Linked DNA regions of Coturnix japonica. The protein of the gene in region 1 purifies or fractionates together with the protein of each later gene. This does not show direct contact. Links are inferred from orthologs where the notes say so. Each region holds a gene or a part of one and is shown on either strand. Other genes may lie near its edges.

Region 1 (5,202 bases):
CAATGCATGATATGTTTTCTTCTTTCTTTTAACATTAATCCAAAATTTGCCAAATGAGGATTCTGAGATCAGTTCTCAAAGTAGCAAGAATGACTTTCTGGGATGCTGTCATATGCATTTGTAACAACAGCTTTTGTGCTCGGAAACAAATGCCTCATTTTCTATCTGAGCTTATTCCCCAGAACAGATCAGTCTTCTCCACATGGTATGTGTCCTGTCTGCCCGCACAAAATGGAGCCCTACTCTCTTCTTCCACAGTCTTCTTTACTCCCTACCATAGCCTTCTTAATTCCTTAAGTGCCTTGCACCCCTGAAAATCCTGATATAGTGGATAGCTTTGGATGGACAACAGCAGCTGCCAGCAAGCTTGACCACGGCATGAGTTAGTATATACAGGATGGTAAATAGCTTTTTTTAAAACCAAAACTAAATCAAACCAAACCAAAACATTCTGCTAAAGAGTTTCATTTTTCACCATTTCTAGAAGTGTTGATGTAGTCGAAGCAGTATCTGCATTCACCAGTATTCTCCACACTCAAAAATGTGGCTTAGGAAGCTGCAGGGATTTTCTTAAGCACTGCTTGCACAAGGGTGAGTCCAATTCAGAGATTACAGTGGTATAGTGCAGTATGAGGGGAGAATACTGCAATAAATGACCTGACTCTCATAGAAAGAAGTTTCAGGATTCTCACTTGCCTCTCGTGGAAACTGGGATATCCTTAGCCATGTAACTGCTGGGTCATCTCCAACACAACTGCAATTATCATTTCAAAGATCAACTATGTTGGAGTATTTTTCGTGTCCTACTGCTTTTGTTGGGTGCTTTGTAACAGAGTTTGCCCTATTACCTTGTCACATATCATACAAAAGTGAATGAAGTGATTATGCTCTTGCTAAGTAAAGAGAGCTTCATTCAAATGAAGTTTTCTACATCTCGTAGAGAGAATTAACCAGACCATTTCATTTAACCAAACCATTTCATTAAACTACAGTACCCTATAAGTAGGAATATAAGAATTCAGGTAGTTGCTAATGTTCCTAAGTGATTTCTGTCAAGTGGCAAAACATTGGTATTCCCTGAAGGCTTCAAAGCTGGCACATGAGAGAAAAACACACACCGAAAGTGAGAGTTCAAGGAAGTACATGGAAGGAAAACTATAGAATGTAGCATCTTCCGTTCCATGTCAGCTGTGGTCAATGACAAAATTCAAGTTTATGGATCTAGGAAATGTTTTGGGTGAGGTCAGCTTGCAGTAGCTGAGTTGCTCTTTCAGATGCACAAGCACAATGAAATACAGTGAAGAACTACTCCGCACCACCCTCTGGAACATCCAGCTTAATTTGAGAATCCTGGGCATACATGAATGTAACAGACAGGTCCAATTCAGGTTTTATTTGTATTGTAGTACAATAAGAGTGCAATTTGACTGTACAAATATTGAACAAAATGTAAAAAATATTATTTATGCAATGCTATGGAAGGAAATTAATAGAGCAATGCAACTTACTTCATACTGACCCTGTTTTACCTCATACTATGGGGCAGGTACCAGTCACCAGTGTGATCTGGAAGGGGCACAAAGGGCTCTTGAAATCTTAAGGAACTTCAGCCAAAGAACAGCCTAGCGAAATCTGTGGGAAGATTTTAAATTCTCCAAGTTCTGTACAACGGAAAAACTGTTCTTACTGAGCAACTGCCCACCTCAGTACTAAGATGAGGGCTGCCAAAAGCTTGATCCAACTCTTCTCTCTCTTCTTGTAAAAGCAAAATTCTGGTATATTAGTAGCTAGGCTTTCTCCAGTGTAAAGTGCATCCGGTTTACATCTTATGTGTATATATACCAAGTGCAACAAATTTCCCTGACATAATAAGCCTCCAAGTACCTGCTAGTGGAATCTGCAGCCTTGCTAATGACTTGTTGAAACCCATGCCTTTTACCTAGTTCATGCCTATACAGGATAGGTGTTTAAGTAGCTTTTCCCTCCATGCTTGGGCTTTCCTACTATGCTTAATTCCTTTATAAATCAGATTTTTCAGCTAGGAAGTGGTTGGTTAAATAATTCTCCCACCATTAGGAATACAAGCTTACGTTGAATATGAAGCCAGAGTAGCAGTCCTAGCTTTAGCACACTGTTTATCTCCACTGCTTTGGTATGTATACTGGAGACTATCATGTGCAGCCATGAATAAATATATTTTCTTTTTCTGCTAATAATCTTACCCCAAAATACATGTATTTTCCTTCATGTGTGGAAGGACTGTAAGCAGGCTCCCATGTAAAAGGCTGGGGCTCTATTGTGCAGCATAAATGAATGTCTTCTATGAAGTCAAACTGTATTTTTCAGTTGCAGCCTTCTCTATACTGATCTTTTGGTAAAATACATTAAAGATGCTGGTGGAAAAACTCACATAACATTTTTGTAATCGTGCAAAAGTAAAAACATTCAGTTATCAAAAAAGCATTGTAATTTCAACCCCAACAAGGTTTGGTTTGTTACAAGCAAACAGACAGCTTTATAATCTGTAAAGTTATATGCTGTAGCATAAAGTGTCACATATGTAACATTAACGGTTTCATCTTTAAACTATGGCACAAATTTGTATTAGCCATAACAGTCTCATCTGGCCCATAGCCTAATTTTTGGCTAATCATTTTTTATTTCGATGGTAAGAAATAATAGCTACCAAAAAGTAAAATGGGTACACGAAGCAGAATTCAGGAATTCTTAGAAAATATTAATGTTCCCTTATATAATACAGCATAAATAATCAATGAAGGTTTTTTCTTGATGTCCAGAGAGTGTTAGAGATCCTAACCCTCCATGGAGAATTAGCGCCATTAGTTTGGTAAATAGGACTAGCTGACTTGGTTGTTAAAAAGTACCTTCTCAAAAGCGTGAGCACTTCCCAGAAGGATTCAGATGTATACCGGCTCTAGGAGAATATGAACAGTCCACCAGTGCAGAACATAGTTTTCTTCCTTTCTGAGAGTCCTTACTCAATAATTCTGGTGAGTCTTTGTGCTTTGAATAAAACATGAGCTCCAGTGGAGGAAGCTGGCTTGTACACATTTTCCGTTATCTTCAGAGTTCATTGTGTGAGTTTTTCTCTGCAGCTTTGAACATCAGAATGGAATTAAAGATTTTTAGGGCTGGTCCCAGTTTAATGCTCATTATTTTGACTATGTCTGATTGGGTCATTAGCAGAAATGCTTCTCCATCAATTTGCTTTAAAAGAAAAACACACAAAGCTATTAATAGGTCTGACAGTGAAGCAGTATAGATGGTTCAGAAAACATAAAGAGAAAATTACCTGACAATCTAAAAAGAATGGTTGAATACAAATGCTTTCAAACTCCAGGATAGCTTTGCTATAAACTTTTTAGACAGATTAGTCCAAGAGAACAGGATAATGATCTTTCTGCTTGAAAACAACTGTCTGGCTAATTTGTAGCTAGCCCGTGTTTTTTTTTTTCATACTGACTGTATTAAAAAAAAGCTACTAAAATGTAAAATGAAGTCGAATTCAACAGTGCTGCAACATAGTAACTAATTTTGCCATTTTAGCTTTTCCTTGTATGCAAGCCTTCATAAGCAAGTCTCCAGATTTCACTCCTAGCTAGAAAACTAGAACCCTCTTCAGGCCACTTTTCTCTGTCCATTCAATAGGAAATTAAAATGAATGCCCCAAATGTAAACACGGGTTGGACTAGGTAAAACTGCCTCTGATACAAATGCCTTTTGAAAAAACACCTTTTTTCTCTTGTTGTGTTTCTTTCTTTAATAAAATTTACAAACAAATATTCTACTGTAAGCAAATCATTCTGTCACCAGGATTCTAAATCTGACCATGAAGAGCCAAAGCCCTCACATTCCAGAGCAAACTGGGGCAAATACTTATTGGTAAACTTCAGTATCTTTGCTATCTGCAGCAACTTCTCAGTGTGAACAGGACAGCTAAGCCTAAAAGTCAATTGTGTTTAAACTGGGAGCATTGCTTAGACTTAGAGATACCGACTTGAGATAGAACTAGTGTAATTAATTTCCTGTGAAACCAGGACATGAGCTTTCTGAATCAGACGTGCTGTTAAGGCAGACCACTGCAGCACTGCAAGCTGAGAAGCACTGCAGTGAGATCAGCACCACATGGTTATTGAGGTTACTGTCAACTCACTTTATTTACAAAGCCAGACTGGATGGGCTCAGAACCAGAAGCACTGCAGTATAGGGGTGCCTGGCTTTTTGCAGCTTCATAACATAAGGATGGGGGTTCATCTCCACAGCAGAAGTCTGAACCAACACCTTCTACCTACTGAAAGACCTTCAGTTGTAAGCTTGATAGAGTATTCCAGAATGAACATCATTCATGCCTGTATGCCAATTAGAATTAGTAGACAGGGTATTATTTCTCTGTGAACTGTACAGATGCCAGCCAGTCCACTCCGGTTGGCACCATTGGCAGAGAATGGTCCTGCACAGACAGATGGAGCTTGCTCCCCTATGGGAGGCAAGAATTTTCTTATACCTCTGAAAACAAAAGTATTTAGTATTTATCCATCTCTGTGGCACTCCCAATCTGTTGATTCAATCAGCAGTGCACCAGCTGTTATTGATTTTTAAATCTCTTGGAGAGTCCTCCTAAGTGATGCAGGATGAACTCGGTCTGCATAGCAGATACAATTGTAAAATGCCTAAAATCTAAGCAAGTGCAAAACGCCCAGAGACTGTCGGTCCTTAGATTAAAATCTACATTGCAACCTGGAAACTTCTGTCCCAGAATTAGCAGGGCCATGCTCAGGAGGTGCATTTACCTTCTCAAGTTTAAGTACCACAGTTATTCTCCACTTGCAAGGGATGACAACATGGGATAATACAGCATCATACTTTGCACATTCATATGGCCTGGTAAGGATAAGCACCTGAACTATTCACACTGGCAATCTGTGATCAATTAGCCTTCTTGAAATGCATTAAGTGTGATAAGACCTAGTTGACACTTAGTTTTATCTTCTTTCTTCTCACCCCATTAGCTGCAAAACAACCTTACAGTCCATATACTTGCTTTTGACTTCAAACACAAAATTCATCCAAACACTTCTTATATGTCTTTAGTGATGAAATAAAATTAATCTTTCCATTAAGCTTTGTACTCCATAACTTTTTGAAATAAAATGTACCCACCTCATCTTTAAATACCTTGCC
Region 2 (5,294 bases), on another chromosome or scaffold:
ATTGCAGAGAAAGGCAACACTCAGCAAAATGTTAAACAAGACTATCCAACTTATCAGAGCTGCACCTGAAGGTTTGGTGATTTTTTTTTTTGTTTGTTTTCTGTTTTTGGTGCTGTGCACATTCTGAGGCTTAAGAAATACAATGCTGTGGAAAGCACCATACAAAACCTATGTGTATTTGTAGAACCAAGATTTGAAGAATTATATCTTTGGATTTTCCCCCCCAGACACCTGCAATGACACATCTTCAACCAATAATTAAAAATAAACAAACTAAACCCCAAAAACCCAGTATTTATTTAAAAAATAAAAAAATTCTCAAAGAACAATTTTATTATTCCTAAAAAGTAAATGAAAGACTCAATCTGTCAAAATACCTAACTGTATTTTGCTTACTTCCAAAAGCATTTTCTTTTTGAGTTGACTGTGATCCACCCACAACGTACTTCAGCCCAAGTGTATCAGTTTTTCATACAGCTCTTTTACTGCAGGGAACACAGCACTTGGTCTAGTCCCACCCTATGCCCAACTGCAATGCCTTCAAGAGCCCCACCTTAGTCATTCCTAACCCCAGGAATAACGGCAAGTTCCTACCTCAAGGAATAGCATCATGTCAGACCTCAAGCAAAGCCAATTTCTACAGCTACAGCTGCAGAAAACTCACAGGCATGTGGCATACTGTCAGGGGCTGGCTGGATTTTAAATCATCTATCCACACAGATGCTCATTTGGCTTCTAGACAGCCTTGTCCTCACCCTGCTGTTGCACACGGCTCTATTCTTTAGACAAGAAAAGGGAATATATAAGAGCCACAGTTTAGCCATATACCAGTTTATACCAGACATCCTGGATTCCCTAAAACCTTAAGAGAGCAAGTACGTTCGGTTTTATAATCAGATACTAGGTGTACTAACAATGAATAAAGATTTGACTCGTCTTCTGTTTGCCACCATCCCTGTACCTTTATTGCCATCATGTGGCCAAAGCAGCAAGGCCTGGAAGAATATAACTGTGAACAAACAGATTTTATCCAAGCTATTTATAACCACTTCAAGAAAGTGCCAAATACTTCCTTAGTAGACAGGCACACATACATACTATGTACTTTTCTTTAGAAACCACAGCTTATGCTCTGTTTAATTATAATCACTACCAGTTTTAAAAAGCCACTATTGCAATTAGTAATTGGGTCTTTATCACCTAAGTCTTGAGGGAAAATGATTAAATGTAAGCTGTCCTTGTTCTGACTGCTTCTCTTCTTGCATCTGCCATGGAGTATCAGGTGCAGAAGAAAACTAAAGGTGGCATCTGAGAGGCATAATCTATGCATGGTCACTAAGCAGGGAAATGCTTTTTATATTGATGTGGTAGAGCCGGAGTCCCAAGTTAATGGGGAAGATGCATACTTCATTGGCTACCAGCAGATCTTTTAATGCTGTGTCATAATCATGAGTTTCAACAGTATCCATTATTATTATTTATATTACTTGGTGATAGGGAGCCTAACCATTGTCATATTTTCATGGACAACTCGTGGCAAAGAGATCTGAAGGACAAGAATGAGGTGCAGCTTCATAGAATTGCTGCAGTCCAAGAGGACAGGTGATAAACTCTTTCTAGTTCCTTTCCCTTTGTTACTTATCAACAGAGCATCTATAGGCCTAATACAATATAGCTGTTTTTCCACACAAAACTTCACTCTTCAGACAGTAAGATGAGGAGTAGCAATCCCAACTGAAGAACTGATGACCTTCAAGGATAAGCAAATGCTTCTAAAACAGTTCCTATTCTTTAGCCTGCAGCGCACCAAATTGCAGAAAACGGCAGAGCAGAGCACATCATGTCTTTCTTTCCCTTATTCCCACCATAGGTCTGAAGGTCTGTTTAGGGCTTCCTCAGCAAAAAGCTTAAAATATTTGCTTCAGAAGGGACACGTGCTGCTTCTCAGCTCAGGATGGCTGGGCAGTCAGCAGGGAGATGCATACATCACCTCCAAAAAGAATAGCAGGAGACATTTACATGGGACACTTCTCCCCATCAGACACTGGTTCTAGAAAGCACACAGACAGACACATTAGGCACCATTTGCTGCTTTGACTTTTGCAAGTCCTTCCTTAGAAGTTTCACCTTGTCAGTCAAAGTGGATGGTGAGAGGAGCTTTCCCCACAACAGCAGACAGATGAACATGGGCAGAGCATCAGTTGCTGTGCTACCACTTGCTTTGGTCACTAGCTAAGATAAGAAAACAACAGAAAAATGAATACTACCAACTTGTTAGCTTCTGCTCTTCTCCATTGCTGTACTATCCTGCATGCCACTTTAAATCACTTCAGTGCCCTAGATTCTTTCATTTCAAAGAAGAAATGCAATAAAACTAATTGAGAACACAGATTGGTAGAAATAAGCAAAGATGGAGGTCCCCACCCCTGCCAACCATATTAAGTCAATGGAAAAATACCATCAAAATTCACATGCTGTTTACATAACCCGAACTCCAAAGAATCACTTACTTTTTGACATCCAGAGAACCATTTTCCTTGTTTTCCATGTCAACAGTTAGCATGGAGAAGAGAGGTTTCCTCAGCAGCTATTAACAGGAAAAAAAGCTGTGTTTAGTTACTGGTGGTACGAAAAGAACAACGTAACACAACAGAAACAAGTATTCTATACAGATGCAACTGTTTCCACCTGAGAGCAAAAGCACTGCAGAAGACCACTTCCGTCAGAGCCTTGGTAAAGCCAGTAATAACTAACGCATTAGGAAAAGTTTGCTTGTGCTTTGAACACAGGAAATAGCACCTTTCTTGATTTTAAGACACAAAGCATCACATACGATCCTTTTTTAAACTGAAACAATTTTGATCTAAGCTACGTAGAGAAAAACCAGCCTGCAATATGTCTACGGTTGGATACCAAGCGTGCTCACAGTGCCTTCAGTCACCCTGCTGTACTGAGGATCCCAAGCAGAAGCATTACTCCTAGCAAGGCTTGGAAACCTACGCCCTTGTTTTACAAAAGGGGATCTGAAACACCGATGAGAAATACAATTTCTACCTCAGTCACAAACCAGCTGGCAAAGCCGAGTCACTGATCGAGTCCAAAACTCCTGAGGCCTAATTGTGCACCTTCTCCGTCAGCCCATCCTTCCTGTGCTTCGCAATGCTTCCTCTATGCACACTGAGCTCGGAGGGGGAAAGGACCGTACAAAGGACACGGGAGGAAAGCCAGCCCGCTGGCCGCTCTCACCGCCCCAGGGAAGGCACAGAGAGCAGCCCAGCCTCCTCCTCCTGCTCTCAAAGGCATTTCTATGTCGGGGAGCACCGTAACTACCCACGGGCTCGGGATGTTCCCGCTGTAGCGTTAATGGACGCCGGCGGTACGACTCAGAGCTCGGGGAAGTACGGAACAGGGAAATCGCGCTCTTCAGCTTAAACTTTGCAAAAGCAAACGATAGCGATTAACGCCGCTGCTTACATAAAATAAAAGGAAAGAAAGGAACCCTTTATTAGGCAGTTACCAGCAGCAGGGAGCAGCACCAAACTGGCGGGTGTGGATGCTCCTTCCACGCTGAGCCCGGAGCACTCGGCGCTGCCCGCGGCCGCCGCTCGGCGCAGCCCAGGTGAGGGCACTGACAGCCGCCGGGACGGAGCTACCGCGACCCCGCCCGCACCTGGGGGGCTCCCGGCGGGCGCTGCGTGACACGCGTGCACCATCTTACGGGCATCTCCGGCAGGCAGCGTGGCACCACATTGTCATTATTTTTTCGTCCGGGGGGGAAGGGGCGGGGGAAGCAAAGACAGACGGACCTACCTACGGGCAACTAAACCGAAGCATGGCTACGCGATGCTCCGGCGCGGCGGAGCCCCTGCCGCCAGCCCCCCGCCGGCAGCGGGGCGCTCGGAGGCGGCTCCGTACGGCAGCGGGCAGCGGCCCCGCCTGGCTCCCGGCCCGAGTGACGCCGCCGCCACACACGGCCCCCACCAACCTCCGCCCGAGTCATGGCGGACGATTTAAAGGCGCCGCTCCTACCTGCGGGAGGGGGCCGGCTGGCTGAATGCCCGCCTGCCTCCTCGGGGCCGCAGGCGAGGGGCATCGGGCTCCTGCGGCCGCTTCCACTCCTCCTACTCACAAGGGTGTGCCGGGGTGTGCCGATGGAGCGGGTGGTGGAGGCGACGAACAACTCCGTAGATAGCTTTGGAAAAGAGCCTCGGGAAACAGGAGGGAAATAGGAACAACCAGGCGTTGCAGAATTGGAGAAGTTGTATCCAACTACTTCTGAAGTGAGTTTGTCAGTACGTGAGTGGGCAGCGAGCGCTGAGCTGCCTCTGAAACCAGAAACGGCATCTCGGGGACCTGAGGCCCTGCTCACACCTGCCCCGAGCACCACACAGTGTGCTGCGCTGGGACACATGTGAGACCCTGCAAGGTTTGCAGTGCTGTGATGTACAAAAGACAGACCTGGCCCACTGGGAGTAACATAACACCTGCTCCTACCTTGCCCTACTAAGACTTGGCAGACCCCCCCCTGTACAATATCCCAGCAACTGTCTCACCACTCCTAACAGCACCAATTTGGTAGCAGTATGGAAATCATTTTGGCATCACCGCCAGAAGCAGCTGAGTGCACCCTGTGTTTGCAGTCAGGGATCCAAGCCCCAAAACAGCAAACCAGATACAGCACAGTAATGGCAAGAAGGGCACAACTGAGCCCATGGGCCAGTAGATATAGTCCCCGCTGAGCATTTCATTATGCCTTAACCAAACGAATAACCAAAGCATACGAAAGCTACACAAATAACGTGATGACTATTGATGACAGTGCTGAAAACTAACAGCAGTGCAAGTCCTCACTGCTTCAGATTTTAAACACAGAGAAACAAGTCAAACAAAGTATTAAACATTCTGCACCCTAAAGAAAACCCTCTTTACCTCAAATCTCAGTGCATACGGTAAAACACGACATATCTGCATTGGACAAGTCACAGAAGGCAGTTCTTTTTGTCTCTTGAGAAACAAGCACTCTAAAAGAGGCCGTAACAAGTTTTCTGCATCAGCTGTTTTCTGACTTTGGTAATGAACTGACATTTGAAGCTACAAATATAGACCAGCTCTTTTCTCTCGCTCTCCCGTGCCTTCCATCATGTTCTCAATTAGTCTTTGGAGCATTTGGCTCAAGGCACACAGCATAAAAGACCTTGAGCAGCAAAGAGAGGAAGTCTGAGAAAACAGGCTGTGGAAGAATTCAGTGCAGAGTATGATCTGCAGCTTGCATTTTCGCTCCTTAGGGTAAGGTG

The links.
Region 2: the proteins of L3MBTL3 (region 1) and SAMD13 purify together in Homo sapiens (affinity purification with mass spectrometry; 3 studies listed by BioGRID and IntAct, counting the BioPlex papers as one, with this or other methods). This does not show direct contact. The link is inferred for Coturnix japonica from reciprocal best matches to the Homo sapiens genes L3MBTL3 and SAMD13.

What each region holds. Positions count from the first base shown.
Region 1 is NC_029518.1:52,473,625-52,478,826, forward strand, and holds the end of L3MBTL3 (lethal(3)malignant brain tumor-like protein 3), read right to left. Parts: coding exon 5,182-5,202; intron 3,229-5,181; coding exon 3,085-3,228; coding exon of another isoform or gene 3,000-3,084; 3' UTR 1,368-2,999; downstream 1-1,367. UniProt on the Homo sapiens protein: Is a negative regulator of Notch target genes expression, required for RBPJ-mediated transcriptional repression. It recruits KDM1A to Notch-responsive elements and promotes KDM1A-mediated H3K4me demethylation.
Region 2 is NC_029523.1:14,552,443-14,557,736, forward strand, and holds the start of SAMD13 (sterile alpha motif domain-containing protein 13), read right to left. Parts: upstream 3,966-5,294; 5' UTR 3,811-3,965; intron 3,756-3,810; exon of another isoform or gene 3,518-3,755; intron 3,193-3,517; exon of another isoform or gene 3,055-3,192; intron 2,588-3,054; 5' UTR 2,564-2,587; coding exon 2,511-2,563; intron 1-2,510.